Linked DNA regions of Lytechinus pictus. The protein of the gene in region 4 interacts with the protein of the main gene of each other region in a pairwise test. Links are inferred from orthologs where the notes say so. Each region holds a gene or a part of one and is shown on either strand. Other genes may lie near its edges.

Region 1 (7,947 bases), on a different chromosome or scaffold from region 4:
ACAACTCTTCCCATTACTTTAGTATATATTTCACTTAAACTGCCTCTTTTATCACATCTATCAGTAGATAATGTGTTCTGTCTATAGGAGAGCATGTTATACAGATTTTTAAAGAATACATCATGGATGAAGAGTTTGTATAACCATAAAAAAATATATATACTTTTTACGCATATTTTATAGTCGATCAAAGGGAAAATTGTTCACATGTGACATCAAACATCCTTGTCGCATTGCCAATGGGAGGATATCCATAGCATTAGTGATTGTAATGTTCAAATGCTCATAACTTTCTCATTATTTGTCCGATTTTTCTCAAACTTTCTTTGTTCTTATTTTTTTATTTTTCTGTTTCAACACAAGCCTACTTGTTTAAAAGGTTTCATTTCCCTTTAAGATTAAACATGAATTTATTTTCATTCCACAAAAAAAATTTCAATTAAATCTAATAAGTGTGCCAAAAATCTCATGAAAAGTTCAGAGAGATACATGATTTTCTCAGAAAAAACCTTGGCAAGTCATTTTCATATTGGACAAAAAATGGTGCCCCATGTCTGCGTGCCCATTCATTTTATTTAGTCTTTACACACGATTCAGGGATTTCGATGAGAAAGCATTTTGAGGCCGTCAATTTGCGTCAAATGAAAATGCCTTAAATATATTATTTTTCAACCATTTTGAGTCAGATTTTTAATGATTAGATCTATATTATATTGGAATCACTCATTTGAGATGAGATAGTTGTTCATCTACTAAAAAATGACCTTCTATGTGATGAACAGCATGGATTCGTTCCTGGCCGCTCATGTGTGACACAGCTCCTAACAGTAATGGAGGAATGGACTAAAATGTTAGATGTAGGAGCTCCTATTGATGTGATCTATTTGGATTTTAAGAAAGCCTTTGACAGTGTTCCTCACCTTCGCCTACTCTCCAAACTGGATGCTTACGGTATAGGTGGTGAACTTAAGTCTTGGATAAAAGACTTTCTACAAGGAAGACACCAGAGAGTAAAAGTCAATGAGGAGTTATCTGACTGGACTAGGGTTAGAAGCGGCGTGCCCCAAGGTAGTGTTCTCGGCCCGACAATGTTTGTTATCTCCATAAATGATCTGCCAGAATGCCTTCAAGGGAAAGTCAGGATGTATGCTGATGACACTAAGCTCTATGGTAAAGCCTCTACCAACGATGATCTCTGTGTAATACAGAATGACCTCGATACCCTAACAGAATGGAGTAATACTTGGCAGTTGCACTTCAACTCAGAAAAGTGCAAAGTATTACATATCGGCCCAGGAAATGCTAAGCGCACATATTTTCTTGGATCCGATTTACTTGAGCACACTTCAGAAGAAAGAGATCTTGGCATACTGATTGACGATGAACTTAAATTTCATAACCATGTTGCAAGTACTGTGAAAAAGGCCAACGGCGTACTCTCATGTATACGACGTAGTTTTGAATGCAGAGATAAATTTACAATCCCAAGACTCTACAAAGGACTTGTCAGACCGATCTTGGATTATGGCAACTCTATATGGTACCCCAGATTCAAGGGTGATGCTAAAGCCATAGAGAAAGTTCAAAAGAGAGCAACCAAAATGATCTATGCTATTAGGAATCACTCATACACAGAGAGACTGAAGGCACTCAACCTGAGGTTAACCTCCCATCCCTTCAGTACCGCAGACGTCGTGGAGACATGATCCAAGTGTACAAAATTGTTCATGGATTTGAACGCATCCCAAGTGATGCCTTCTTTGAACTTTCAGCAGGCAATACAAGAGGTCACAGTCTGAAGCTTTCTAAACCCAGATGCTTGACCAAACTGAGGCAAGATTCATTCAGCCAGCGGGTTATAAATGACTGGAACTCACTCCCTGAAGAAGTAGTTACAGCTCAGACTGTGAATAGCTTTAAGATCAGACTGGACAAAGTGTGGGCAGACCAGCGGTTCTGCTCACCATATGAGTAGCAAACATCTTATAGAAGGTAGAGATCTGAGCCAAAACGACACTGAGCAGACACCACACCAATCATTGAGACGGATGAAAATGGCACAGAACTGGAAGCCTGACTGCTGGGATCCACAGCACTCTTCCAGAATCTCGGGTAAAGGTAAAATTATTATATGTTGATCTATTGCAAATATGTGTAGTAAAGATTGTGGTCATTTTGCAACTTCTAATGTTAAATTGATGCAGATACGCGTATGAACAGACAAGGGGCACCTTATCATACATTTTATTACAGTACCGTATATAGATCTACATTTTACTATTTATTACAAGACTAATCATTATTTGGCAAGTTCAATCAAAATAAGTAAAAACAATGTGGACTTCATTCCACACACATCATGATGCGCATCTCTGATTAAAACATTATTTAAAGTAGACATAGAATCACACATAAATCCTAAATTTGTATTTCCAATTCTATTTCTAACTTAAATATTCTAATCCACTATCAATATTCTCAGTCATAGTTAGATAGTAGTAAACTACGTTACCGCCCACTACAGCTACTCACAATGCATGCAGCTTTAAACAAACACACACACCCTTGCCTAGCCTGCCTTTGCATTGCATACACCGATCAGACCATTTATCAGCCGATTGACGACTCATGCGTGACACCCATGCCATGCGGCAGCTACACACACAGCTCAAGAACACAGCGGCCTAGTGCATGCATGCACCGGCCGGAGCCATAGCTCTACTACGCCTTGAGTAACCGTACACGTGATTATTGCGATACCGGTACACAATCGCCAACAAGAAAGACAAATGTTTACGTTTGAATTTAGACGGGATTCAATGAAAAATAAAACTGAAAAAAATTTCAGTATTGACAAGAACTGACCGTAAAATACTTCTGTAGAATTTCCTAAAAACAAAGATTTTCCTTCACTGTCGACCAAAGCAATAATCGGAGATTTTGTTCACTCACGATCACTCAGCAGCCAAACAAAACGTTTACAGTGATTATTCTGACGTCACAAACTCGGAAGTGTCGACGTCGCGTCGATCGACGCAACGAACAAGGGGCGGGGCTAGCTTTCTTGATACCCGCCCCCCCCCCCACACACACCAAAAATAATGCTTAGTTTGAGCTCATTTTTTTTTCGTCACTGTGTTGTAATTTATCATATTCAGAGACCTAAGAGCCGCCCAAAACTTTTTCAGTAAACAAACTTAACACAAAAGGGTAGAAATGACCATCGAATTATTGTTACTGTTATAGCATACAATGCCAATGGCGGGGGCATTACCTTGCAGCCACCTGGCGCATTATAATTCCCCGTTCACGTACCAGCTTGCCTCTCACCCCCCCCCCCCCCCTCCCTTGAATCGTTCCACGGCCCATACCCAATGTTTTGAGATTTTTCAAACCAAACAAATCCTTTTTTTTTACTTAAAAAAAAGATGCCGTATGTTAATTGTTTGTTATTAATTGCCACCGTATACTAGACCCTACCCCCGGACGGAACTGTATAATTTCAAGAAATGCAATTTTCTCAACAAAATTGAGAATGATTTTGTTGGATTTTGTGTGTGCATTCATTATCATCATACGACACAGTAATACCCATTCCATACCCGCTCCTGTAGGAAAAATAATTTTCAGTAATCCCCATTCCATACCCGCTCCTATAGGAAACATAATTTTCAGTAATCTCCATTCCATACCCACTCCTATATAGGAAACATAATTTTCAGTAATCTCCATTCCGTACCCGCTCCTATATAGGAAACATAATTTTCAGTAATCCCCATTCCGTATACCCGCTCCTATATAGGAAACATAATTTTCAGTTAGGCCTAACTTCATGAAGCAATTCCATCCAAATTACGAATTTATGAAATATCTTTAACAAATATATGCGACGGATATCATGCAATATCAATTCACATTTTGTATTCTCGGATAGATTTTTCTTCAAACCTTCAAAAGAAGATTTTTTTCTGATTATATCAAAACACCTCCTCAGTCATGTCAGTGAAGACAAAATGTTACATTATAAGTACTATAATCAACAGACAAATCAGTTTAAATCAGCCGAGGGAAAGCTTGGATAAAGCTAAAAACTAGTTTATATATTATTAAAAAATCAAGATCAAATCGGTACAGATTTGTAGAATTTCAATTGCATGCGCAACAAAATAAATGCTTTGATGACCTTGATACAAGTTAATTTGGAAAAAGCTGAGTTGACAAACACTTGAAATTTAGTACAAATGCATGCAGTATATAAATAACTAGTAATTATTATTTCATAATATAGAATTTACCTTTGGCTTTTCGACTTATTCTTCGCTATAGGGCCTATTCCTGATACATTTGAGAACAAGAAATTTTTAATCAATCACAATTGGCCTGCTTTGATACATGGCATATATAAAATTCGTCAAAAATATTTAAACGGGTAATAAGGCCAGGGGAATTCCTGTTGTATGTTTAGCAAAATAGTAATAAAACTCAAGATGTCAAATTCAGGGGCCACGGAAGCGGGGGTGGCTGGGGGGGGGGGGGGCTGAAGCCGTGTACAAAAACGTAAAAATTACCATAGGATTATGATTTTTTTGCATGGTCAGCCCCCCACTTTTGGCTCAGCCCCCCCCCCCCCCCCCCCCCCCCCCCCACTTTGAAAACCGTTCCGCGGCCTCTGATATTATAAACAACGTAAATATACACTTTTTCTGTTAATATTATTTTTTTGTTGTCAAAATTGGTTGCCACAAAAATCCCTTTCTTTGAAATTTGATTTTCGAAGCAAGGACGCCGTAATGAATGAATTGTGTAATCCAGAATTCTCGTTAAGAATTCTTTGGTGGTAGTTCGAGAGAAATCCTCGACGAAAAGTGCACTTTGAAATTTATATTTTAACATTTATATTTTTTAGATAAATTGTGGAATGCAAAGGATCATAATGACTGCTGAAAATAGTGTGGCCAAGGCACTGCGATCTGTAGGTGAACGGATTCAAGCAGCCTCTATGCAAAGAACCTCGGTATGTTTGCCAGCATTACTTAGCAGCACGACCGGTACGGTACCACGGTACCGGTACTCTGTGCTATGCCATGCCACCGGCCGCCCGCGCCTCCGCGGAACTGACGCCCTGTCGATCGACTGTGGCCGTGGCCGGTTGCCGCTCTCAAACCGTATTCTCTACTAGTCTAAATTAATGTGTCAGTTCACTTCATGTTTGGGAACCCATGATAAGCACTGGCGTAAAGATGGGGGGGGGGGGGGGGGGCTCTTGTCCCCAAATATTTTTCACGACGAGAAAAAAAGAAAGAGAGAGAACTTAGCACATGAATTGAGAAACATGATGATACTATAGTATGAGTGAGCTGATACTTGATAGGCCTAATTATTATAAATTTCTGAAAATTATGAAATATGATGTAAGTCCCATATCTATCCTATCACAAATTTTTTTTTTATTAAAATTGTCCCACCATAAATTGTTCTCAAAAACATTGCGAACAATTTCTGGTGCACCACTAAGGATTTTTCCCCCCCTCTTCATTATTATCTAATCACTTTTAAAGACAATACGGTACCAGGGCCCCATTGGCATTGCATAAAAGTTACTATCAAATTATAGTAAATTTGCCATCTAAAGGTAACTGATGTGTTTCCAATGCTCATCGGTCAATCAGAATCAAGGATTTCAGGGAAGTGTCTACTAATTTTTAGTAACTTTTATGCAACCGGGGCCTCGATCTGGTTTTGTAAATGTCTAAAAGAAGATTTTTTTTGTTATTGCTGATAACATATCAAGTCTCTTCTAGAATCTTTATGATGAAAAATATTTGCAAGATGGTGCATATGCACAAACATCAGATGAAGTCTGATCAAAACTGGTAATGTGTTATGTTTTGTTTCTACTCAAATCATTTGGTAGAATTTTGAATGTGCAGTATGCTCCGTTTATTTGAAAAATTTTAGTTTGAATAACTGTTTTAGTAAGCAAAAGGTTGGTAAACAAGTCGCTTGTGAGTACAATGTAGCTCTCCATACTTGTATGTCTTGTAGAATAATTTCCATAAATCAACATTTCTCACAAAATTTGCAGTGATTTACTTATCAATATTATGGCTTCAATACTTCTTGATCACTGGATGTTTTCTTACTAAAACCAACACTGAGCAATTCAAACAATCATTAAATTTCCCATTTCTCAGACATTGATTGTCAAATGTGGCTGTAATATCTGTCCCCTCACTAAAAACAAAAAAACACCTACATTTTATTTTATGATTTGTCTTTTCTCCTTCCAGACAATACCCAGTGTGGAACCAAGACTAGTCGCAGTGAGTAAAACCAAACCAGTATCTATGATCCTTGAGGCTTATCAGACGGGACAGCGCAACTTTGGTGAAAACTATGTAAGGACTAACTTCCTTAAAAAAATACAAATAATTAATTAGAATTTGCTTTCTTGTCATTTTGGAAAAGTTGAAGACCAGTAAGTGAAAGAAAACACAAAGATTGAGAGCCATTTAGCCCCTTGTGAATTACTATTTTGTTTGAACAATATTGGTTCAGTTGATGTAAGATGTCATTTTGAATAAATAGTGGCAGGAATAATGGCAGGAATAATGGCCCCAATACAGATGTAACAGGAAGCAGTTTCAGCCTTTTTGTAGATGAATTCTATTTTATTTTCTTTGTATTCAGGTACAAGAGCTTGTTGACAAATCTCATGATGCCACAATCAGAGAACAGTGTACAGATATCAGGTGGCATTATATTGGTCATCTCCAGAGTAATAAGGTCAAGAAACTTCTCAGTGAGTATGAGATTTTCTATTCAATGAAGATGAAATCTTCGGATCAAGTTAGTTTGTATGAAAACAGAAAAATTGAATTATATTGAAAATTAATTGGGGAGTTATACAACATACAACATAACACATGTTAGTCACATTGCCAATGAGAGGATGCCCATATCATTAGTGATCTCAACATCCAAATTCCCATAACTTGCTTATTATTTGTTTAATTTTTCCCAAACTGTCACTGAATTGTTTAATTGATTTTTCTGTTTTCACTCAAGTTAACTTGTTCCCAGAGTTCATTCTCCTTTAAGATCCCAATGCATAAAAACTTACTATTTAAATTTAAATACAATTGATTGAAACATAATAACTGTTATAACATGCTACCTTGCTAGGTTTTTTTTTCTCTTCCTTTTTTTTCATATTTTGGTACAATGTTTTTAAAACCACAATTCAATTATTTATTTGTTTTCTATGTAGGTTCTCCTAATCTGTACATGGTGGAGACTGTTGATTCCAGGAAGTTAGCATCAGAGCTTGAGAAACATTGGAGCAAAGAGACAGACAGAGGAACTCTCAGGGTCTTTGTGCAAGTCAACACAAGCGGAGAAGCAAGTAGGAAATTTATAACAGTTTATTTTGTCCTTTTCTTCATGATTATTAAATGAATGGTATGTAATTCCAGAGCGATAGACTGAAATTCCTGGAAATATTTATGTAAATGTATGTATTTGGACATGCTGAAAACTCCAAACTCGGTTGTTGTAAGATCAGTCTTATGAATGATAAGTGAAATGAAAGGCAAAATAGGCCTATGTTTTTTATGACTCTTTAAGTCATTAAAAAAACTTGGTTGTACCTGTTTAATTCTGGCTCATTGGCCTGTATTCTCAAAAGAGGTTTCGATTGTACCATAGTAGTATAAAAACATGGACTATGCAGATTTGTGTACATATTCACGCTTATTTCATCGTTTACATTTAGGAAGTCCAATGTGATAATACCAGATACCTACGTAGTGCTTGGTTTTGTACATTTGAAATACTGTGCACTGTATCTCTATTAACTGTACAGTGTTCAGTTCTATATTGGTATCATGTGTTATCATGAAACATTTGAAATAATTGAAATTGACTATTTCATTTCCATTTCCAGAT
Region 2 (7,081 bases), on a different chromosome or scaffold from region 4:
ATATGCATGAAGAAATGAATAATCAATTCAGAGCCAAGAATTTTTTATAAATAATATTTCAATATAATATATTATTGTCATTTCTTCTATAATATTTATTTATATGGGCCTACAATAGAGCACTAGAGCAATTTGACTAGTTGACCCCTCCTTAAAAAAAATGATAAAAATCACAAACTTTATTTTTATTGTTAATTGTCTTCAATATCCAATATCATAATTATCGTACATTTCATTAACATTTAATCAATTTCACTTCAGTTTGTATTATAAAATTAGTGTGAAAACAACTGCTATGGGAAGGGGTTAGCTCGCTTCACAAATCCCCCCCACACACACAAATGCACCATAGGCTATAGGCCTACGAAAAGGTTTTCATGACTCCACTATTGGGATAAATAATACTTTCAACAAAAAATCTGATGTGATGACGATTCAACAAAATTATGCAAGTCTGAAATATATAGAAATTAATTTGTGAATTCAAATCTTACTTTTTTAATAGGTAAATACAAGGGCGGCATCACATTGGATACGAATAGGGGACGGCGCGCCGCGGCGGCTCCTAAGATGTTACATGAAACAAAATATTTATTTAAAAAAAGAGGGGGGAGAAAAGGATTACTGAAATAAATGAAAAACATAAAAACAGGGTCGCATCCCCGCATCTTTGAAAGAGTAATAAATGAAGTCATTTTTAAAGATCACTTCAAACTACCCTGCATCATGGCGACACTCCTATTATTATCTTCTTGATATATTTATAGAAAGTGTATAGGCCTGTATCAGGGGCGGATCCAGCCTTCGCCAATAGGGGGGCCCGGAACTTTTTTTCAGCCATATTTTCCCCGATCGGGCCCTCGAAAATGATTTTTGGTTTCTTTGAAGGGGTATTCCAAATAGTCACTTCTTAGTTTTATTCTTATGTATAGACATAGATATATAATATCATAATCCTTATTTATAAAATGCGAGCGCGAGCTAAAAAAAAATTGGGAAAGCTTATGTATTTTTTCCTAAAATTTTGAACATTCTGGGCAATGATTGTTATCCTGACAAAGATGTATATGCAAATGAATAATTACTAAGAACGTGAAGCGCGAGCAGAAATGAACCGATGGAAAGAGTACTATTAAAGACTGCAATTGCATTTAGCCATGGAGACGTAACATATTTTTAAAATCAAATAATGCGAGCGCGAAGCGTGAGCTGAAATTTTTACATAAGGAATAGAAATTCTAAGCACTTTTTGTAACTTAAACAGAATAGGTATATAACTAAACAATTGATGCAAGCGCGAAACGCGAGCGGAAAATTTCGAGATTTAGACCTACTGAACGAGACACTCTATTCAAGTTTTGTAAATCATGAAAAGGATGAGTAAGTGGGGATCTTCCTTACATTAATAATGCGAGTGCAGAGCGCGAGCAAAAAAATTTAAATACGTTTTGAACTGATCGAAAAGGTACCTGTTAACATGGTTAAGGACTGCTTGCACTTATATAGCCATGAAGACGTTACATATAAAAACAATCAAATAATGCGAGCGCGAAGCGCGAGCTGGAAATTTTTGACATTTCTACATAAAGAATGTAAGATCAGTTAATCAATTTTTGTAATTGTGAACGGGATAGGTATATAACTAAGCAATTGATGCGGAAAAATCGAGATTCAGACCTAAAAACGGGACACTATTCATGTTTTGTAAATCATGAAAAGAATGAGTAAAAGAGGACCTTCCTACATTAATAATGCGAGCACAAAACGCGATCAGAAAATTTCTGATGTTGTGATTTGACACTGGATAATGATTTAAATAGAGAACAAGTTTAGTATTTGAATAAACATGCGCACGTGTTTCATATTTAGACCTAGAATCTAGGCATTCTAAATACATATTTTGTCATGAAAATCAAAGCGAGCAGGAAGCGCGAGCTTAAACTATATATTTGATATTCCGATATAAGAAAAAGAGTCGATTTCAGCTCTATATTTCAAGCACTTTATAGGAAAATTGTGAGGTGGATATGGCTCGCACATTATTATTACTTTGAATAACATAGGACCGGGACTTCCTCAGGACTTGTATATGAAAATGACGACTATCTTTCTATTCCTCTTGCTTAGCGTGAGATGAAACAAAAGGGACAATTTAATTAATATCTTATTCATTAATGCCTAATGAGGGTGCAAAATCTGATTATATTATGGCCTGAAAACTGGACATATGAATAAATTTGTAAATCACACAAAATAATGAAAGTTCGATTTCCGAGGTGAAATATGTTTTGTATATTGACTTTCACACTTGACTTTTAAACTCCATATTGAACAAGATATGAAAATCACCTAACAGACAATGCAAGCGCGAAGCGCGAGCGAAAATTTTATATAGTGACATGAAAGATTCTTTTTATTTTCCAAGTCTTCCCCACATCTTATTTTATTCACTCGTCTTCCTCCTCTTCTTTTTTCTTAACTCTTTTCCTTCCTTTTTTCCCTTTTCCCCTTTTTTCGTTCTTTCTCTTTTTTCCTTTTTTTTGCTCCGCCAATAGGGGTGGGGGGGGGGGGGCGGGCCCCTCGGGCCCCCCTGGATCCGCCTATGATGTATTGAGATCCTGAGAATTTTAAAACATTTGAAAAGTCAGAAAGATGCTCGGTATAGGCCTACATTATCCGCGTTCTGTTTGGAGGTCAAATATTTTAAGTTTTCTTCAAGATGGAAAAATTACTCGTAAGTGACATTGTTAGATTAATTAAGCCGAGGCAGTAAAAAGAATATTCACCCTAACCCTATGGTAAAATTCACCATTTGAGGATTTAGTACAGGCACTGGCGGACCGGGGGGGGGGGGGGCAAAGCCGGACCGTGCCCCCCCCCCTTGAGAGGCACAATTAAAATTTGTATAGTAAAAATGCCGTTAAAACAGAAGTGTGCCCTTTTTTTTTGTCTGTCAAATCTTTCCTCGGGAAAAATGTGCCCCCCCCCCTTTGGGAAATCTTGGATCCGCCCCTGAGCACAGGTAAACTTTTGAGGGGGCAACACGGAAGCGCCAGCAAAGTATTGGGGACAAAACGACCTCATTGTGACGTCATTTTGTCTCATATATTGAATGACATGAAATATCTATAATTTATCATTAATTTATTCTTAATTGTGTTTTTTTAAGTTTATGCCATTTTCTCCCTCGATCCATTCATTTTTTCCTAATTTCCTTTTTTTCAGTATTTGAAAAAAAAATATGTTGGTCGCCAATATCCGCCCGTAGCCTTTCTCTCTCTGATCCAACAGAAACACAAGACATGATAAAATTGAGGGAAAAATCCCGCCCGTCACCATTTAGCAGAACATTAGTGCCCCTCCCACCCCCCCTTTCTCGTTTACGTACCCCATCTACGGTAGACTAAATTCATTATTATTTTTTACGAGATCGTCAATGCATTTTTATGTGTAATAATTGAACTACATGTATGAATGGACGCTCCTCCTCCGTAATACATCTACACATATGGAAAATTTCAGGTTAAATTCATCGCTTTCGGGAAATGCCATGTTGACTTCACCGCCATTCAGGACTACATAGTACCAAGATAAGTGGGGAAATGTTGTGATTTTGTAAATCCAAGGAAGATAGCATCAAGAATTTAGGCGGTGGAAAAGTGTCGCATCTCACCGGCTTCGATTCGAGTGGCGTCAACCCCCATCCCCATCAGTGCATAAGTCATTAGTGTTGGAGCGAATGTAAACAGCATTGACTTGAGCGAGCTGACCTGAGCAAGTGCAACTGGCTGTGTCTGTGGTGCCTGAGCTGAGCTGTGCCTGTGCACTTGTGTTGCAGTTGGTGAGAGTACAGACTACAGTTCCAAGCCAAGGACAGGATTTACAGAACTGGATCTCTTCAGCAGGGCTTGACTGACCTCAAAATCACAGTATTTCTGAAAATGAAAATGAGAATTGACAGACATGATGTGCATTTTTTAATTTGAGCATCTTTTGAAGTTCTGTTAATGTGAATGTCTGTGCCAAGATCGCAGAGCACAGCCATTGATTCACCTCTATCGACTTCATTCTAAACTAGGCTAACTCAAAAACTCATCTTTTAAACACAAATCTCAGTCACACTGACACAGTCACAGTAAAAACTCGAGATGGATCGTAAGTGTAAAGTCTGGCACTTCTTTAGTTTTTAGCGATGCATGCCTTGCTCTTTGACTTTGCTAATAAAGTACATGTAGGAGAAAAATTTGGGCCAAATTGTGTGGTTGATTTGTACGCACGCACTTGGATCTAAAGGGGATGGAGGTAGAAATGGAACCATGTGCATGACTGAATACAGCACTGCTGTACAAAATGATGCACCGTGGTTCCCAATTTCTTGATAGTGCCAATAAATTATTTACCCAAATTGTGACTCTTGCAAAATTTATCAATTTTATTTCATATTTTTAATGAAAATGTTGCAACATGTATGAGCTTGGAATGTCTTGAAAGGATTCAAAATAATCCTTTATTTTGTAACATTCTAATAATGTACCATATAATGTACTAATGTACCATATATGAATGCTTTCAGATAAATTGATAATGATACGGGCCCTACATGTAAAATATCTATATTATTGTTTAGAAATAGAATATCTGGACTTGCCATTTATTCATCTGCATCATGCCAGTGATTCTCACTAACCAAATTTGTAAGCAAATCCGAAAAGGATTTCGGGGGCTTATCAGTTTTCAGTGCAAGTCACTATTTGCTCCATGAAATGCTTTCAAGCTAATGATGATTATCATCAGAATTTGATCGTTTCAAGAGTATCATAACTATTCTGTTAATGAAGTTTTGTCACTTTGTTATTATTTTTTATATATATGTAATTGATCGTCACCTATTGATTTCCTTAGCAATTTTCTTATTCAGATATCCATTGAATATGTTTATCAATTATCAAAAAATTATATGGGGGGCTTGCCGGCTCGTGGTAAATTTGCCCTTGAAATACCAAGCAGTGTACACTGTACAGAGTCTGGAAGAGTAATAAAAAGAGTCACAGAAATTTCCATAGGGTCCAATGTAAATTGTCAGACAATGTAGGGAAATTGGGCTGGTGAGTTCAAAAGTAGCCCTGGAAGAAAAGAAATAAGTATTTTTCCCAGTGTCAGTAAATATAGATGAAATATTATGAATATTAAAGAGAAAATTTTCAATAGTGGGTGGTAATGCAATCAGCTGGCCATTGGAATTTGTGCTACAGGAATACAGCTTAAAGTTATAAACAAAGTTGTGTTCAATATCATGTAAATGTATCCCTGGCAAGTCAAGTTCTTCAATATTTTCTTTTTATTGTGAATTTTGACCTTTACAGCCTTCATATTTTCATTTGTTTCTAGTGGCAGACTCTCACATGGCACCAGATCAATTTGTCACTGCTTACATGTAGAACTTTATAAAGAGCAATGCCTTACACTGTACATAAACTACATGTATTGCCCATCCCTTACAATTGCCAAGATTACTTTTTGTCCAAACAATGTCAGTATTCCTGTTGAGGGAACATCTATGTAGGAAATACATGTATCTGTACACGAAACAAAATTTACACTCCTCACAGCCCCTTTGCCTCTAAAATTTCACAATTGAATGCTTCGGGGCAATCTTCCAGATTTGCCCCCAAATCTGCCACAAACAATATTCAAGAATATATTGAAAATAATACTCCGTATACCGGCAAAATGAGTATGAATGAAGATACATGTATTTGTGTTAATACTGCTGTGCATTTTATAATTTCTTGAGAAAATAACTAGCCGGCAGGCCTAGCACCCCCCCCCCCCCCACGAAAAAAAAAAAAAATCAAGCAATTACCCGGATCTGAAAATCAAATTGAAATTAGAAAATTTGTTCCTAATTGTGACTGTTGATAGAGATGAGTGATAATATTTAACCTTTGCAGCTTTATATTTTCATTTATTTTTTTGTTTTTTTAGTGGCAGACCCTCATATGGCACCAGATCATTTCTTCACTGCTCCGTTTGACAGTGACAACTATGGTCCACAAACCAGCAAACTCCAGCATCTTATGCAGGTACTGTAATAATGATCAGTCCACAGACAGTTAAAAGGATTCTTATTGATACTAATTTATGAAAATGTTTATTGCTTGTTTGTTTGTGGCGGTTTCTTTAGTTATTTTGAAAATAAAATAGATTGCATGAAAATATCAAATGAATTTACATCACTTTGATTAATCGATGTGATGTTTAGCTATAGCTTAAATGCGGACCTTTCTTATTGCTTTACAGAAGCTTTCATGAGAAAATGAATGGTAAACTTTCATGTTCAAAAGTTATTACATGCATTTGTCACACTTGTAATTTCTAACTGGTGCTGCCTTTGGAAGGCATACATGTATGTAATAGAAGAATTGAATTGAAAAATGGGAAGCAATAATCATAGAGATATTCAGCCCCTAAAGTCATTTTTTTATGTTCTCTTCATAAATATACTTGACATTGTTCGAATTTTTATTGTTTTAAAGCGATCGCATTCAGTGGGATCGAGCCTGTCAACATATACGGGATCACCGGCATCGTCAGCACCAAGCGGGCAAAAGAGAGACGAAACGCCCATTTTCCAACCAGGTTGGTTGCCCTTATTTATTTTCCATGTTGATTCCTTATACTGTACCCTATTCTCACCGGCAAAGTTTTCCTGAACCCCATACTATAGGTAAGGCTAAATTACATTTTAGCCCCACCTAAAGTCTGGAGTTCAGCTTAGCTTACTGGTTTAAGGATAGTATGAGGTTGATGATAGTCCGGGTTTAAGAAAATGGTGTGAGAAAAGGTATACCGTATTTAACAGTACTCGGACTGTACACTGTATGCATCACAAAGCGTAGTGTGTGATTTTAGGGCTGATTTTTGTGCTTGGTTATTAATATTATGCGCAATCAATTGTGCAAATCACAATGATTTATCAATAAGCTTGTGCAATAGGGTCTGTAGAATACACTGGGGAAAAGTCTTGTATCGCATCTCATCTACATGTATGCACGCTTAGTTCAGATAGGGGCAGAGTCAA
Region 3 (7,773 bases), on a different chromosome or scaffold from region 4:
TGTTGCAATTTTACAACTTGCAAATTGATCACAAGTTTCTTGCGATAACTGTAGCATTTTGCCCAAGGCAGGCTTGTCCGACATACCCATGGGTAATAAACAAATTGTAGGTTCCAATAATCTACAGGACAGGGCCATTTTTCTATACCTTTTCTACCAGTACAAATGGGAATAATTGAAAAAATAAGACAAAGGCACATCCAAGATAGTAAAACATAGCCTGTAATGAACTTGATAATGAACAGCTTATGTTTTATCTTCGTTCAGATTTTAATCACTTTGTTACTAGCTTACATGTACATCCATTCCACTTTAAAAGTGTCATCTTTTATGATATTCTTGGCTCTTGCCATCTCCAAATTAAGAGTTTCTGTCAATGAATGCCTTTTTTAGAATTAGCATAAAAATGTTAACGTGTGTTTTATGTATGAATGATACAGAGGTCTTGCCATTTCCATACTTACACTGTAGTTATATCAGTTGCTAGCCCAGAGATTCCCAAATAAAGCCTTGGTCCCATCTCAAAGATTTTCTGTGCGTTCATCGAGACGGTCTGAGCTTGTACTCCAAACCGTCGATCTGACGCGATCCCAACGCAGTCTTTCCCTATCATGGCCACAACGGCCGAGCCGTTATATGACATAATAGACTGAAATATAAGAAAATGTATAAGAAAATGTGTAAGTGTGGCAAGAAATAAACGTTCAAAACAAAAACCTGGAAAACTATTTTCAAATGGCTTTGGCTGGCTAAAAGGTGCATGCACACATTGTTTGCTCATTTTCTAAAACAATCCTTGTGAAGGAAAAAAACAAAAAACTGTTTGCTGTACCAGGCCGACCATAATTAAAACCCAGACTTTTATTTCTTCTTTCAATTCTGAAAAAATAAGTGCAGACTGACTTTGAGTCCCTTCATCTTTCTTATTATTCTCCCCGATTTCTTTACAAATAAAAAAAAAACTTGATAATTTTGGCAAATGAAACAATCTAGAAAAGACTAGATGACCCTCAAATTCCTCAATCTTCGATTTTAAGTGGATCATGCATAAAAACGGCCGGGTTCCCATCACACACATGCAAAAAAGAGCATTTCACTCTCTCTAACGTAAAAAAAACAATAAAAAAAATAAATAGAAAAGGACCAAAGACAACTTCTGATAACATTAACCATGGTCTAAATTAACATTAGTTATCTTCTTAAGTGGATGACACATTTTTGGGGCTTGCTTGTTTGTTGTTGCTTTTTTAATTTTATCATTTTTTTTTCATTTAATTTGATGGTCCAGCACCCGAGTACAGTCCATAATTTGTCATGCTAAACATGATCCATGGTAATGACTTTGTGGCAATATTTTTAGATGGTTTTTAGACCAATTTACCCATTTGATTACCGGTTTTATGGCCTTAGTATCATGCAATTAGTCACCTCTCTTCTCGCGTGTCAGTGTGTGTGTGCACTCGTTGAAGTCAATAAGGTTTATCGCTATATACGTGTGAGGAAAAAGATACTGGCCCAAAATCACCAATTTTGAGGATAACCGGAGGATGGACACGGAGTGAAATACGGGTGAAGAGTAAGAAATTAAGCTATTTTACTTTCTCGTTATATTTTTTTAATATAATTTTAACAATGAATAACATTAACGCGATTTGCGTGCTGTCGCCAAGCGGAAGACAAAGAAATCAAGATGGCGACGTAAACACGGCCGTGAGCTCTTCCCATCTTTTCATAACATTTTTCTCGTTTTTTTTATTAGGCCTAATTCTTCTTTAAAAACGAAATTGATATCGCAGAAATGTTGGAAATGAAGTTGAAGTGAACCCATGTACCGGTAGGCCTACATGTTTTATAATACTACTACTAGGGCTAACCCAGAGAGCTCCAGCCCGCGTAGCGGGCTGGAGCCCAGACGCTCAGTGTGCAAACGGGCATTCAGGTGAGAGTACCGTGAAGTTTGGTCAAAATAATTTTGATAATACATAATTAAAACAGAAATTAAGCACTTACCACGATTGTATGGATGATAGTCTAACGAGTGGCAGTTTCCTGACATCGAGGCACAGACTGGAACCTCAAAAAACGATCAGTTCTGTCGCGGTGGCTCTCCTTCTTTCAAAATTCATAGCAAAATGGCCGTTCGAGAGGGTGTAGGGCGCATGCGCGAATTTGACAAAGTCTATATGCGCTAGTGCTATACTAGCCTCGGTCTCGATCGGCCATTTTGTGTTGAATTCTGAAAGAGGAGAGCTACCGCGACAGAACTGATCGTTTTTTGAGGTTCCAGTCTGTGCCTCGATGTCAGGAAACTGCCACTCGTTAGACTATCATCCATACAATCGTGGTAAGTGCTTAATTTCTGTTTTAATTATGTATTATCAAAATTATTTTGACCAAACTTCACGGTACTCTCACCTGAATGCCCGTTTGCACACTGAGCGTCTGGGCTCCAGCCCGCTACGCTACGCGGGCTGGAGCTCTCTGGGTTATACTAGGTCTAGGGCTAGATCTTTTAGTTTTAGAGGGAAAGTAGAAATCTCAGGGGCGATAGTTTCAGGTTTTGTGGCCGTACGTGCGTGATTATACCTTGGCGTCCCAGGCGTCAGTGGGGAGTAAGCCTACGTAGAGTAGATGACTTTTACTCCCCAGACGCCTCCAGGCTACTTCGCCCGAGGCAGAATCTTCATCTGACTTGTGCTCCGCCGCAGCGGACTTCGAGAGAGACTCGCTCGAATTCATCGCGGTAGAGACTCCCCGACGCCACCCCGAGACACGGTCATGCTCTCGCAGGTCAACTAAAACTAAAGTCAAACTTCGTTCGCTCTTCTTTCTTATACAATAAATACATGTCTTACATTCTCAAATCAAAGGCATTTAAAAGCAAATACTTGACTTTAAAATCAATCACATTTCTTACCATTATGCCTAGATTGTTTGTATCCCCGGCCACAAACAAGACAGATTTTTTCCAATTCCTAAAATGTGTCAATTCACGATCGTTTGTAGACTTTCTCTGTTTCGACAAAGAGGGCTCACTCATGAAATATTCTATTTCTATCTCTTTCTTCTTCTTCTTCTTCTTCTTCTCCTCCTCCTCCTTCTTCTTCTTCTTCTTCGTCTTCTTCTTCGTCTTCTTCTCCTCCTCCTCCTCCTCCTTCTTCTTCTTCTTCTTCGTCTTCTTCTTCTTTGCCTCTTCCTTTTCTATTCTTCTTATTTATCCATGTTCACCTTTTTTCTTCTTCCTTAATCTCAGTTTTCCTCTCATTGCTCGTAGGCCTATATAGTAGGCTTTCTCATCTTGTAAGATACGAAAATTAGCCCGATGACATTTTAAACTTTTTTTTTTTTAAATAGCCTTAAAAAATATATATATATCTCAAAGCCGGGATCTCAAGTCACAAGCGTTGATGGAAGTTAGACTGTCTTGACCTTTAAGAAAATGGGTAAAAATAATTGCGACGATTCCTAATGGTGGGTGAGTGTTCAAAAGTCCCCATCCCATACCTCTGACTGACTTTAAACCTGTTTTTCCTCCCAATAAGCATTCGATTTGTTTTTTTCATAAACTTCTTGATAAAGGTCCTTGACAAGCGATTTCTAGGGCCATTTCTCGAAGGTGGGTACCTGCAATTATAATGGCAATTTTATATGGTAAAAGATAGCTATTATGATCCTGCCATCACCCCCCCCCCCCCCCCCCCCCCCCATCCGACGCAGCGTAATTTCATTATACGCCCATTATTCGTCTAATTCCCATTAAGGTTACACCAATTTCGTTTGCTAACACCCATATGATTATCAACCAACTTTTTTATTTGACATAGTGAGAAAAGGTATAGTAGGCCTATTACAGACTAATGATAATGACGGGTAACGGTTTAGAAGAAGTAATTATATGAGAGGGTAGATATGGGGGCCCCCAATTTATCACGACCAAGAAAAAAAAATGAAAGAGAAGGAAAATCTAAAATTATTATCTGAATATCATGTCAAAATCTATCACAAAATTTTCTTTTGGTAATAAAAATATAAAAAAATTTGCTCTCTCGCATATTTTTCCAAATTAATTTGGCCCTATACGGCATGTCTGGCCCCTTAAAACTGTTTGCTCACTAAAATGACGCTAGTGTTGGTGAGGGGGTAAAAATATTATTATCAACATTTCCCCCATTTGACGCCTAAAAAGTTTATTTTAATTTTTTTTACCGCGTTTAGAGGGCTGTACTAACCAGAGAATGACGTTTCATTCATCTTAGCCTTATTATTCGCCAAGATCTCAAAGGGTCAAGTCCACCCCAAAAAAATGTTGATTTGAATAAAAAGAGACAAATAAAAGAAGCATAACAATTAACCCTGAAAATTTCATCCAAATCCGATGTGAAATAAGAAATATATCATGATGGCATTTTAAAGTCACGCTTATTACTCACAAAACTCATGGATATTGGCTCTATGCAAATAAAAGCGTTGATGATATCCTTCACTCACTATCTATTTATTTTATTTTATTTTTTATTGCTTGAATTGTGAAATATTCATTTCTTTTTACAGATTTGACAATAATGACCCTTTTGTCTGAACCACAAAATGTTGAAACATTGATAATCACATACTAGAAATTAAAAAAAGTGAAATTCTAGCTAACTTTTTGAATCACTAACTGTACTTTCTAAGCCTTATTTTTTGTACATATAGAGGTGCATATCTCCATTTTCTCACTACACAGTATGTTTTCAATAGCAAAGCTTTGCTGTTGGGGACATTGGCACTGACTAACAAGTGTGTCAATATTTTCGCGTGTTGTTAAATTCGCGGCCGATCGGCAATTCGCGAAATCCGCGAAAATAAAACCCCCGCGAAAATTACAGCTTGTACAGTACTGTGTTCAGAAAGGAATAAAACTTCGATTCACATGACAATCAGTGGCGTAGCTACGGGGGGGGGCCTGGGGGGCACGTGCCCCCCTGAGATTTATTTTGGTGTGCCCCCCCCCCCCCAGGTGCCCCCCCCCCTGAAAAAAATGGCAGAGCAAAAAAAGGGAGAAAGAAGAAAAGAAAAAAGGAAAAGAAGAAGAAAAAAAAATAAGAGGAAGACGAGTGAATGAAATAATGTGAGGGGAAGACTTGCAAAAAAAAAACAATTTTTGCTTGCACTTCGCGCCAGAATTGCCTGTTCGATGAGATTCATATCTTGCTCAATAGGCTGATATGGAGCAAGCTTTGAAGTCAATATACAAAACATATTTTAGCTAGGACATCGAGCTTTCATTATTTTTTTTCATTTACAAATTTAAGTGCTCTGTAAAATGTCCGTTTTATGGTCTACATATCAGCATTAAGCTCACGCTGCGTGGTCACATTGTTTGATTTGCCAAGTTCATATTGTCTACGTGTCCCGGCTACGTGTATTCCATAATGTTCCATTAAACAAATGTATTCAGAATGCCCAGATTCTAGGTCTAAATCTAAAACATGCGCGATAGCCTGCATGTTCTTTATTTAAAATGTAGTTAAATTATCCAGTTTCACATCAGAATATCAATAATTCGCGCTCGCATCAATTGTTTAGTTACATACCTATCCCATTTATTAATACAAAAAATGCTTAGAATGACCATTTTTTAAAAGTCGGAATGTCAAAAAAATTTGCTCGCGCTTTGCGCTTGCATTATTGAAATATATACCGTCTTCCTTGACAGGTCCCTTTTCGATAATGCTAGAACAGTTAATAAAAATTTCTGCTCACGCTTGGCGTTCGCAGTAACCATCTTACATACATATCTTGTTCAGGATCACACATATCATTGCCCAGAATATCAAATTTTCAGGACAAAATACATAAAAGTAAAAAAAATCGCTCGCGCTTCGCGCTCGCACTTTTTTATAAGGCTTATGAGATTATTTCATGTTTATGTTGTTTTATAAGAATAAAACTGAGAAGTGACTGATCGGGGAAAATATAGGTGAAGATAATTTCGGGCACCGTCCCCTATTGGCGAAAGTCGGATCCGCCCTTGTGACACATACACACACACCGGAAAAAATTGTGCCCCCCCCCCCCCAGGAAAAATATCCTAGCTACGCCACTGATGACAATGAGGAGATAATTAGATTTTTCATATTCCATGCTGTAATGAAATACAAAAGAAATAGTGAGTGGATGAATGCAATCGGTCTCCTCATTTGCATACCGACCAGGATGTGAATATAATTGTTTCGTGAAACTTAGCAAAACTTTAAAATGCCATATTATTTTACATCCGATTTAATGAAATTTTCAATGTTATGCTTGTTTGTTTTTTCGCTTTTTATTGAAATCAACTTTTTGTTGGGGTGGACTTGTCCTTTGAATAAATAATGAGAGCGTACGAAGCGTGAGCTATTTTTTCACTAGTTCATTATTTCATCTATTCACAGCTGAAAATTAAATATTCTGAGCAGCCTTTTTTCTGCCTAATCATGAACAAGATGCGTATAGTCTGTGCTTGTACATAATAGCGCGAATCGCAAACTGTTTTTTTTTCTTCAATATATTGACATCCTGAAAAGGACTCAACAAGGACTATTTGCAGTGATTCATGAAAAAGGGTACATATCTCACCAATCAAATAATCTGAGCGCGTAGCGCGAGCTGATTTTTTTTTTGGGGGGGTAATCATGAACAGGGCCCGTAATTTCCCTGATGTAGAATAACAAAAACTTAATTGAATAGCGAACAAAATTTTTTTCTTTCAAATTATTCTCTTCGCCTTACTTCATGAAATTTCTTCTTTTTTCCCGTATAATTTTGTTTTATCTATCTATTTCTTTTTCTCCTCTCTGTAATGGAATAGCGCCATCTGTGGCGAGTTACATTAGAGTGCAAAACAATGGGATCCAGACCATCAGTGATCCAGACATGGAGGTGGATAAAGCTTATTATAGATTAAATTGCCTGGTTCAAAAGTATATCAGTTTGAAGCCTCCGATAAGTATTTGTAATACTGTAATTAAGTTGGTAGTTACAGTAGGAGTAGAAGAAACAACAAGACAAAATACTTTCCTTCCTTTTATGAGCCGACAATATGGGAGGGGCACGGCCCTTGATTCGCCCGACCCCTGGCCTGATGACCCCATCCCAATTTTGTGTAAAAATTGAATATAGAAATTACGTTTATAAAGCATTTAAAAACAAATTTCTTGGGAAAACATAATTAGAATTCACTGCAAGGGACTATAATTATTCATAACTTATAAAAACTATCCGAAGATTGCGAGCAATGAAATATATTTAAAAATTGCACTAAGTAAACCTAGAAGAAAAAGAAAATGAAAGTGTTTAGCAAAGGTATGTTTGCAAGGGGGGGGGGGGGACACACTCGTTGAAGGACCCGAGGTTACTATCTAATCACTTCTAGATATACTGTATATAACTTCCCCTCATCAATGATTTTTTTTTCTTCATTTTTTTCACTTAAGAAATTGAAAACTTTAAACAAAAAAGTGCCATCAATGTTTATTTTGTCTTTGAATATAATATAAACCCCTCAAAAAAAGTTTGGAAATCTGAGTTTGGCCATTAATTTCTCCCAACTCCCAATTTAACACAATGCATATTTGATATCATTTAAAAGATCATTTAATTTTCTTTAAAATTATACAATGCCTGTTATAATCATGCCATCACGAAAAGAGCAGGATTCAAAAGTTTTGGATGAGGTCTGAATTGAAAAGCAGCAAAACGAGCAGAAGTAGTCATGAAGGGTCAATAAAGAACATGATGATTTTGTCTGTG
Region 4 (7,965 bases):
ACTAATCACAGTTATCGATCTCAGTTAAATTTTTCAATAAAACTAGACAATGATGCAATAGACAGGGTAAATACTATAAACTTTTTAGGCGTACAGATAGATGACAAGCTCTCTTGGGTTAACCATATAGATAACATCCATGGAAAAGTTAGTATGTGCATTGGTATGTTATCTAAATTACATAATATGCTTCCACTTAAAGGTCAAGTCCACCTCGGAAAAATGTTGATTTGAATCAATAGACAAAAATCAAACAAGCACAATGCTGAAAATTTCATCAAAATCGGATGTAAAATAAGAAAGTTATGACATTTCAAAGTTTCGCTTATTTTTCACAAAATAGTTATATGAACGAGTCAGTTACATCCAAATGAGAGAGTTGATGATGTCACTGACTCACTACATGTATTTCTTGTTTTTTATTGTTTGAATTATACAATATTTCAATTTTTACGAATTTGACAATTAGGACCTCCTTGCCCTGAACCACAAAATGTTAAAATAATGGAATTCCACGTGTTCAGGGAGAAATGAAACTTCAATTCACATGACAGCGACGAGAAAATCAAAATATTTCATATAATGAAATACAAAAGAAATAGTGAGTGATGTCATCAGTTCCCTCATTTGCATACCGACCGAGATGTGCATATAACTGTTTTGTGAAATGAAGCAAAACTTTAAAATTTCAAAACTTTCTTATTTTACATCCGATTTTGATGAAATTTTCAGTGTTATGCTTGTTGGATTTTTTTTAAATTCAAATCAAGTATTTGTTGGGGTGGACTTGTCCTTTAAAACCCTCTTTGTATAATGCCATTGTCTTGCCCAATTTGGATTATTGCAGTCTTGTCTGGGGAGGAGCCAGCTCATGTCATTTAAGCAGATTGATTGTACTTCAAAAGAAAGCAATTCGTCTATGTTCTAACACGCATTATCTTGCCCATACTCCACCTCTATTTAAAAAATTCAACACTGCCAATTTGACTGATACTATAAAAATAAAGGCAGCACTCTTTATGTTTCGATATATGAATAACATGTTACCAGCTATATTAAATGAATATTTTCTTACAGTTGATAAAAACATTGTTAATACAAGACAGAGAAAGAATATATTTGTGCCATATTCACACTTAAAACTACTACAGACGAACTCTATTAAACACAAAGGGGCTCAATTTTGGAATAGTCTTGACCCACTACTTAAAAGAATGACCACCGTTACCTCATTTAAAGCTAAAATTAAACAGCCTCTTCTTGCCACTTACAAGTGATTCCTTTAAATTGAACCAAAACTAAACAAACAGTTATATGATATATTTTGTTTTGTCATGTATTGTAAATATTGTAACTTGTTTCATGTATTATTTCAATTGCTATTTCCTATGAATTTTATTCCTACTGTAATTTATTTGCTGTATTTGTGTCACTGTTACATGTATTTATCTGTCATAGATCCCCCTGCTTTTCAAGCCTCTGGCTTTCCTAGGGTGTTTGATCCTCACATTTTACAATGTATATATCTACTCATGTGATTTTTACCTAATAAATAAATTGAATTGAATCTATAAATTGTTCTTCAAAACGGCATTTTGTAACATAGCTAATCGAAGGTACGTTATAACGAAGCGGTTCAAGGGTCAGACCTGTGGGCCAGTCAAATATATTGCTGTACACACGCGTGAACAAAAAAACGTGTTTAAGGTGTATTTTTCAGTTTTGGACGAGGGCCGCGCGTGCACTCGTTTGAGGGTATCAAAAACACAGATTTTCAAGAAAAAGGGTGGTTTTGAAAGACTGGTCAATGGTCAATCGCGGGGTCAAATGTTTTTTCCCCAAAACTTTTTTTTTTAAGACTAGCCAAATGTGTTTAGGGTATGTTTTTTTCCCAAGCTTTTTCCCCGTGGTCATATTTTGGCGACAACTTGTTTAGGGGGTTATTTTGCACACAGAGAAAAAGTCGTTTAGGGGGTGTTTGGAAATTCCTTGGTCACGCGTGTGTATGGCAAGTTCCCCCAAGTCTGCGCAGTCCCCCTTGTCTGCGCACACGCGTATCTGCACGATTCCAGTAAAAGAAGATATGCAACGAGCACGAACTTTACACATGCAATACATAGACAGGTATTCATTAAAAAATCTGACTCAAAATGGTGGAAAAATAATGAATTTAGGCCTTTTTTTTTATTAGGGCATTTTATGTGACGGTCTCAAAATGCAGCCTTTCTCATCAAAATCCCCGAATCGTGTGCAAAGTGAATGAGTGCGCAGACATGGGGTAATATTTTTTTGCAATCTGAAAATGACTGACCAAGGTTTTTCTCAAGAAAATCCTATATTTTCTTTCATTTTTTAATGAGAAATTTGGTACACTTACTCTTGATAATATAAGGAACATTATTAACTGAAAGATTTTGTAAAATAAGAAGAAATTCATGTTAAATCTTAACTCAAAGACTTGGGGCCCACCATCATTCAACAATATATTTAACTGCCCCCCCCCCCCCCCCCCCCCCGGACCTTCTTAAAAGATGGATTTCCTAGGCTAGGGAAATCCATCTTTGTTTACAACTACAAGTGTCTCTTTACATATATGACAGGCGGTTCAAGGCTCAAAGATGAAGAAGTATATGTCAAAATGTTAAAAAATATCATCATGGTCCATGATGATATTTTTTAACATTTTGACATATGGAGTCCTCAACTTAGGCTACCTCCCCCAAGTTAATCTACAGTCCCACCTATTCGATTCTGGGCAGTCTCTGGCCACTAGACAGTAATTACCTCTCGATCTTTGAAGTGAATAGCTTTCAGAACCATGGCCACATTCCTTGCATTATCTACTCTCAATGATAGCACATGCTGCCCGTCTTCTTCACTTTGTTGGGTTGATATTAAGGACATTGCCAATCATATGCTGGAAGTATTAAGTGCAGGCCGAATCAATACTGTAAGTCTGTTATCTTTTGCAAAAATCAAGTTTACCGCGGGTCTGCTGCCCTCTTGTGCTTATATTGCATGATTTTTTTTTCACCGATTCAGAGAGCTCAGCTCCGAGTCCGCTGCCGATACCAAAAAAAATATTATTTTACTTTATCTAAGACTATTTTTATATTTATATAAAGTTGCCAAAGCAAACAAGCAAAAATAAATAAGTGAATAAATAATTACACCTATGACTGCATGACACTTACCAAATCATCAATGTCGTTGAATTAATTTTGGTTAGGATAGGTCTGCAGATTCAATTTCACTGAGTTGGACATATTTTCTACGTCGCATATCAATCACACCTGTAATATGATCAAATTTTCAGGATAGGCAGTTAACTTCCCCCCCCCCCCAAAAAAAATCCTTTTAGTAAGTTTTATTTCCACTTTTATTGAAGCAATAAATTGATTTTATTTCTTAACATATGCCATAAACATATTGTCCCTAAGCATATTCTTTCAGCACAGGGCCATCAACCCCATCAACCAGTCAGATAAACAGTAGACGTGTTGATATTGAACGTTCATGCCAAATCGCTTGTTTTCCCCCTTTTTTTCTCTCTGGAATGGCATGGGCCTTACCAAAGTTGCCTATTATTTCAAACAACCTTCTATTTTAGACTCGGTTTTAAGACCCTATAACTACCGAACTACTGAGTGAGTCAGAATAAAATTTTATACCTTTAAAAGTCCTTTATCGTAAACACATAGGCCCTATATATGCCAGGAAAGAGTATTTCTTCCTAAATATTTTGAAACGTTTTTATGTGATACATGCTTACACCTGGATAGACGGTCAGGAAGTATTTTGACGTGGGGTAAAATTTGATCTGTGGCAAAGTGAAAGCAATGAATGAATATAAAGTGTCAAGCTATAATCATATAAGAGATAAGAAAAAAATAGTTTGAAATTATCTTTTTCCCCCTTTTCACTGTTTAATTTTAACAAACACTTTTGGCATCTCTCTCTATACTTATGTCATCTTATTATTTTGCAAAAAGTTTACTTAACTCGTGCACGATTATCACATCAGATTCTGGATTCATTCATTTCATTCATGCTATACCTCGGCACAAATCAAATTTCACATCACAGCGAAGAAAATTATCCCAACATAATCATTTACCGCATAAAAGAAATCAAATTTTCAGAGGGAAGATCTGGGAGGGGGCGGGCAGTCAAATGTGTTGCTGTACACATGCGTGACCAAATTATTTTCAAACACCTCCTATAACAAGTTTTTCTTGGTGGGCATGGGACCCTAAACTTTATCCTGATCTTATTTAATGTTTATGAACATCTATTTTTTCCCTCAATGCAGAGGTCAGAGGGTAGTCCGTACGTAGCTGTAGAAAAAGAAAACAAAAAAAATTGTTGTTTAGTATCGACATAACGATGATTAGACCAAATGGTAATTAGACCAGGGGCCTGCAATATAAAAGAAAAACACAATCAATCTCAAACATGATTGACATCAATCATAAATCTATGGTAAACCATGTACTAAATTCTAAGAGTTACAATTTGATTGTATCTCTTCATATAACAGGCACCTAAGGGATATTAGACCAAATGACAATTAAACCAAGGACTTATTAGACTAAATGATGGTAGACCAAATGAGGTTAAACTGGGCAATGGATCAAAATCAATGTGTACACCACATCGGTATAAGACAAATTTGATTTTAAACCATTTGATGGTTTGACAAAATGGCAATTAGACCAAATGATTAACACCAAATGGTTATTAGACGAGATTCCATGTAGGCAATATCTAAAAACAAAATGATAACACCAAAGACCCCCACCCATCAATGCCAATAAAGGATGAACAAAAAAATGGAATTTTATATGAAAGTGAAATTTTATTAGGAATGTTCACATTGATTATTTTACATTGAAATAAAAGTAAAAGCCTTCAATAAACTATTTTAAAAATAACAATTGCAATTCAGTAGCTCAGAAACCACTAATTCCCATTGTGTAAATACATTTACACACAAACAGTGCTATAAATTTTGAATACTTATTGTATTCAATACAATTACATAGAACATGACAATTAAAAACATAGTGTAAAAAACAAAATCAACAGAAGTCACCATATTCATATTTATATACTATACTGACATCCCAAAATATACAAAGACAATCTCAATATGAACCTCACATAAATTATGAATGAAATGTATTGACTCGCCTGGAGCTTTCGATTTCTGAGTGTTTTCTTTTTTATTCCTAAGACTTTTGATTCATGTCCACTTGACTGAATTCCAACAGACTGAATGCAATAAGTACATGTAAGCACATATTCATGTCTGCTCCAGTGTCATGCCGTTACAGTATCATATCTTGTTTGATTGAATTGCTGTTTAGCTTTGGTTGGTGTATAATCTCTGATACTCTTGAGAAAGGAAGTAATCAGAGCCCGGGGGGGGGGGGGGGGGGGGGGGGCCACTTACATTGACGAGTGGATACCATGCGCGACCAAAAAAAACACGTAAAAAGGATGTCTTTTTTAATGATAGGGCACGTTAAGTACGTAACGTGATAAGGGTGTCAAAAACACAAAAATAATGAAAAAAGGGTATCTATTTCGCTAGGAAAGCTACGTGTTTAGGGTCAAATTTGCGGGGATGCTAAAAATATTTGAATGTTTTATAAAGGATGTCTTTTGTGCCCCAACATTACGTGTTTAGAGTCTGATTTGCACGAGGTGTGGAAGGTGGGGCCGTACTAAACCAAATGGTGTGTAAAGGTAAACCGATGACCGACGGACCCGTGACATAATAAAATATCGCTGTACTTTTTTAGGGGTTCATTTCAGGGAATACTTGCCAAGAGTATCGTTTTGTTTCCAATGCTTGTTAAGGGTAGGGTTTCAGACGCCAATACTCGTTAAGGGGTGCATTTTCAGAATATGGAAAATACGTGTTTAGGGTGCTTTTCGAGACCCCATGGTCGCGCATTGTATCCACTCGTCAATGGAAGTGGCCCCCCCGGGAATCAGAGGGAAATTGGTTAAAAAAAATCAGCTTTACTGGTCTTCGGTCTCGTTGACCTCTGGTCAATAGGTTAGACCACTGATGATCCATTGGTTAAATGCTAAAACATACATATATAAATGAACATAGGGTGCAGTGATGAAAAGCCTATCATCATAGCTGCTAGCAGCTGAACGAACAAGATGTGGAACTCGGGATAGGTACAGCATTTCCAGTAATGATATAAAAATTGCATTAAAAATACTCGAAAGTAGCAACACAAACTATAACACCCGTACAAAACTCATTTGAGGACAATTAACATGGCACAATGTTGAAATAAATGGTTATCATTATTCCTTTTGAAGCTGTGCTCCAAGAATTTGAAATCATTCTACAGATCACCTCTGTCTTCAGCATTTTGCATACATGAAAAAGGTGAGCCATAAACTACGCTTACACATAACATTAATAATCACAAAATAAATGTTATGTCATATCGTAAAATGTGCCATCCACATAACTATGGATAAAATTACCCTGGTTTAAGCACTAGTGTCCTTATATAGTGATACAAATTTTTATCAATATTCTGAAACATATCCAGAATAATTTGTTATAATAAAGATAACAATGCTAATAGCTATATTTATCAGGAAATATGCAAAGGTCAGCAGCTTGCAATGGTCTACTAGTACTATAAGGGTAGAATTGAATATCAGGAAGTGAGATGAAATGTATGTGTTGCTACTAGACCTGGTTCAGAACCAATTTTCAAACTGATTCAGCTAGTTCAGGATTTTAATAGAGCAAATATGAGCTCTCAAAGCGATCCAGAACATGAACATTTACCCAGAGATCATACACAAGAAATGCTTTTATATTGAAGGGGGAGATTAACATGTACAGTTCTGAATTACAAGAGTACCTAAGCAATGTGTTTCCATAGCAACATAGCTAAAGGTGTACCTCGTAAGGGTTCCATCTGGTCACTCTAGGAAAGTGACTAAACAAAGTATGTATTAAGTATGCCTTACAAGAGGTAATTAAAGCATTGACATAGCAACACATTTGATTCATGGCATAATCCATAAAATACATTATAGACCTATTTACTAATATTCTATTACACTAAGGTTTTCATTGTCAACTCTGAAGATTGCCCATCATAGCAACAAGTAATGTTTGCACACTGGATTCCTAGTATTCTGTTTTTCTGAAGGAAACACTTTAATATCAAGAAATGTTTTGAACCGAAAGTTTTGAGAGATGACTCATTTGTTGTGAGGTAAAATGATTTGGAACTGCATATATTCTGTTTTCATTGAAAGGACAAGTCAACTTATTTCAGGAATAGTGTATTGTACCCGAGAGGGTAGGAAATAGATCTTATTTTCAGGGGCCATTTTTTTCCACATTGGGGGCAATTTGCAGAATTTTGGGGGCTATTTCTTTCATTTGAATGGCTTTTTTAAGGGTAAAAAGTAATTGTGCAGTAAAAGCAAATGATTATTCTTCTGCCATTTAGAATAATGATTTTTCAAATAGTCTTAAATATTGTTTGGAACAGATATTGAGGCGACTCTAGAAAGAATAGTCGCCCCAAAGCATGCATTTGATTTGGGCTGTCATGAGGGCGAAAACCCCCTCGCCCTCATATTTCCTATGCTAAAATTTGTACCCCTTTATATTATGGTGTAAAGGGTAGACAAAGAAAAATCATTTGTAGCTGCTGTGTATTTATAATAATATTTTTCCTGGTACAGGTATTGTCTAAACTTCCTACCTATCAGTTTCCACATGTTTATGATTTGCTTGTTATGTTTCTGATTCTTGCCCAACCTCTTTGGTTTTGATTTCCTGTTGTGCATTGCAGCAGTAGCAATGTGTAGATATGGTATCTTTTGTGTTGATTGAATAGAAAAATCACGAACAAAGAAAAATGACTTAAACTTTATCCAAAACTAGGTATATTCAGAAGATCTGAA

What was found.
Region 1: the proteins of cell cycle checkpoint protein RAD1-like (region 4) and pantothenate kinase 3-like interact in a two-hybrid assay, tested with the Caenorhabditis elegans proteins (2 studies listed by BioGRID). The link is inferred for Lytechinus pictus from reciprocal best matches to the Caenorhabditis elegans genes mrt-2 and pnk-1.
Region 2: the proteins of cell cycle checkpoint protein RAD1-like (region 4) and PAN2-PAN3 deadenylation complex subunit pan3-like interact in a two-hybrid assay, tested with the Caenorhabditis elegans proteins (2 studies listed by BioGRID). The link is inferred for Lytechinus pictus from reciprocal best matches to the Caenorhabditis elegans genes mrt-2 and panl-3.
Region 3: the proteins of cell cycle checkpoint protein RAD1-like (region 4) and proteasome subunit beta type-3-like interact in a two-hybrid assay, tested with the Caenorhabditis elegans proteins (2 studies listed by BioGRID). The link is inferred for Lytechinus pictus from reciprocal best matches to the Caenorhabditis elegans genes mrt-2 and pbs-3.

Annotation. Positions count from the first base shown.
Region 1 is NC_087256.1:1,123,014-1,130,960, forward strand, and holds the start of pantothenate kinase 3-like, read right to left. Parts: upstream 3,009-7,947; 5' UTR 2,866-3,008; intron 2,671-2,865; exon of another isoform or gene 921-2,670; intron 1-920. Other genes in the region: pyridoxal phosphate homeostasis protein-like, read left to right, coding at 4,919-5,014, 6,291-6,398, 6,691-6,802, 7,271-7,405, 7,946-7,947.
Region 2 is NC_087249.1:48,654,957-48,662,037, reverse strand, and holds the start of PAN2-PAN3 deadenylation complex subunit pan3-like, read left to right. Parts: upstream 1-4,064; 5' UTR 4,065-4,148; coding exon 4,149-4,155; intron 4,156-5,985; coding exon 5,986-6,083; intron 6,084-6,536; coding exon 6,537-6,639; intron 6,640-7,081. UniProt on the Caenorhabditis elegans protein: Regulatory subunit of the poly(A)-nuclease (PAN) deadenylation complex, one of two cytoplasmic mRNA deadenylases involved in general and miRNA-mediated mRNA turnover.
Region 3 is NC_087257.1:9,035,325-9,043,097, forward strand, and holds the start of proteasome subunit beta type-3-like, read right to left. Parts: upstream 3,009-7,773; 5' UTR 2,921-3,008; coding exon 2,918-2,920; intron 650-2,917; coding exon 465-649; intron 1-464. UniProt on the Caenorhabditis elegans protein: Non-catalytic component of the proteasome, a multicatalytic proteinase complex which is characterized by its ability to cleave peptides with Arg, Phe, Tyr, Leu, and Glu adjacent to the leaving group at neutral or slightly basic pH.
Region 4 is NC_087246.1:3,922,401-3,930,365, forward strand, and holds the start of cell cycle checkpoint protein RAD1-like, read right to left. Parts: upstream 3,012-7,965; 5' UTR 2,905-3,011; coding exon 2,785-2,904; intron 1-2,784. UniProt on the Caenorhabditis elegans protein: May be a component of the 9-1-1 cell-cycle checkpoint response complex that plays a major role in DNA repair. Promotes DNA double strand break-induced cell cycle arrest and apoptosis, thereby playing a role in genome stability.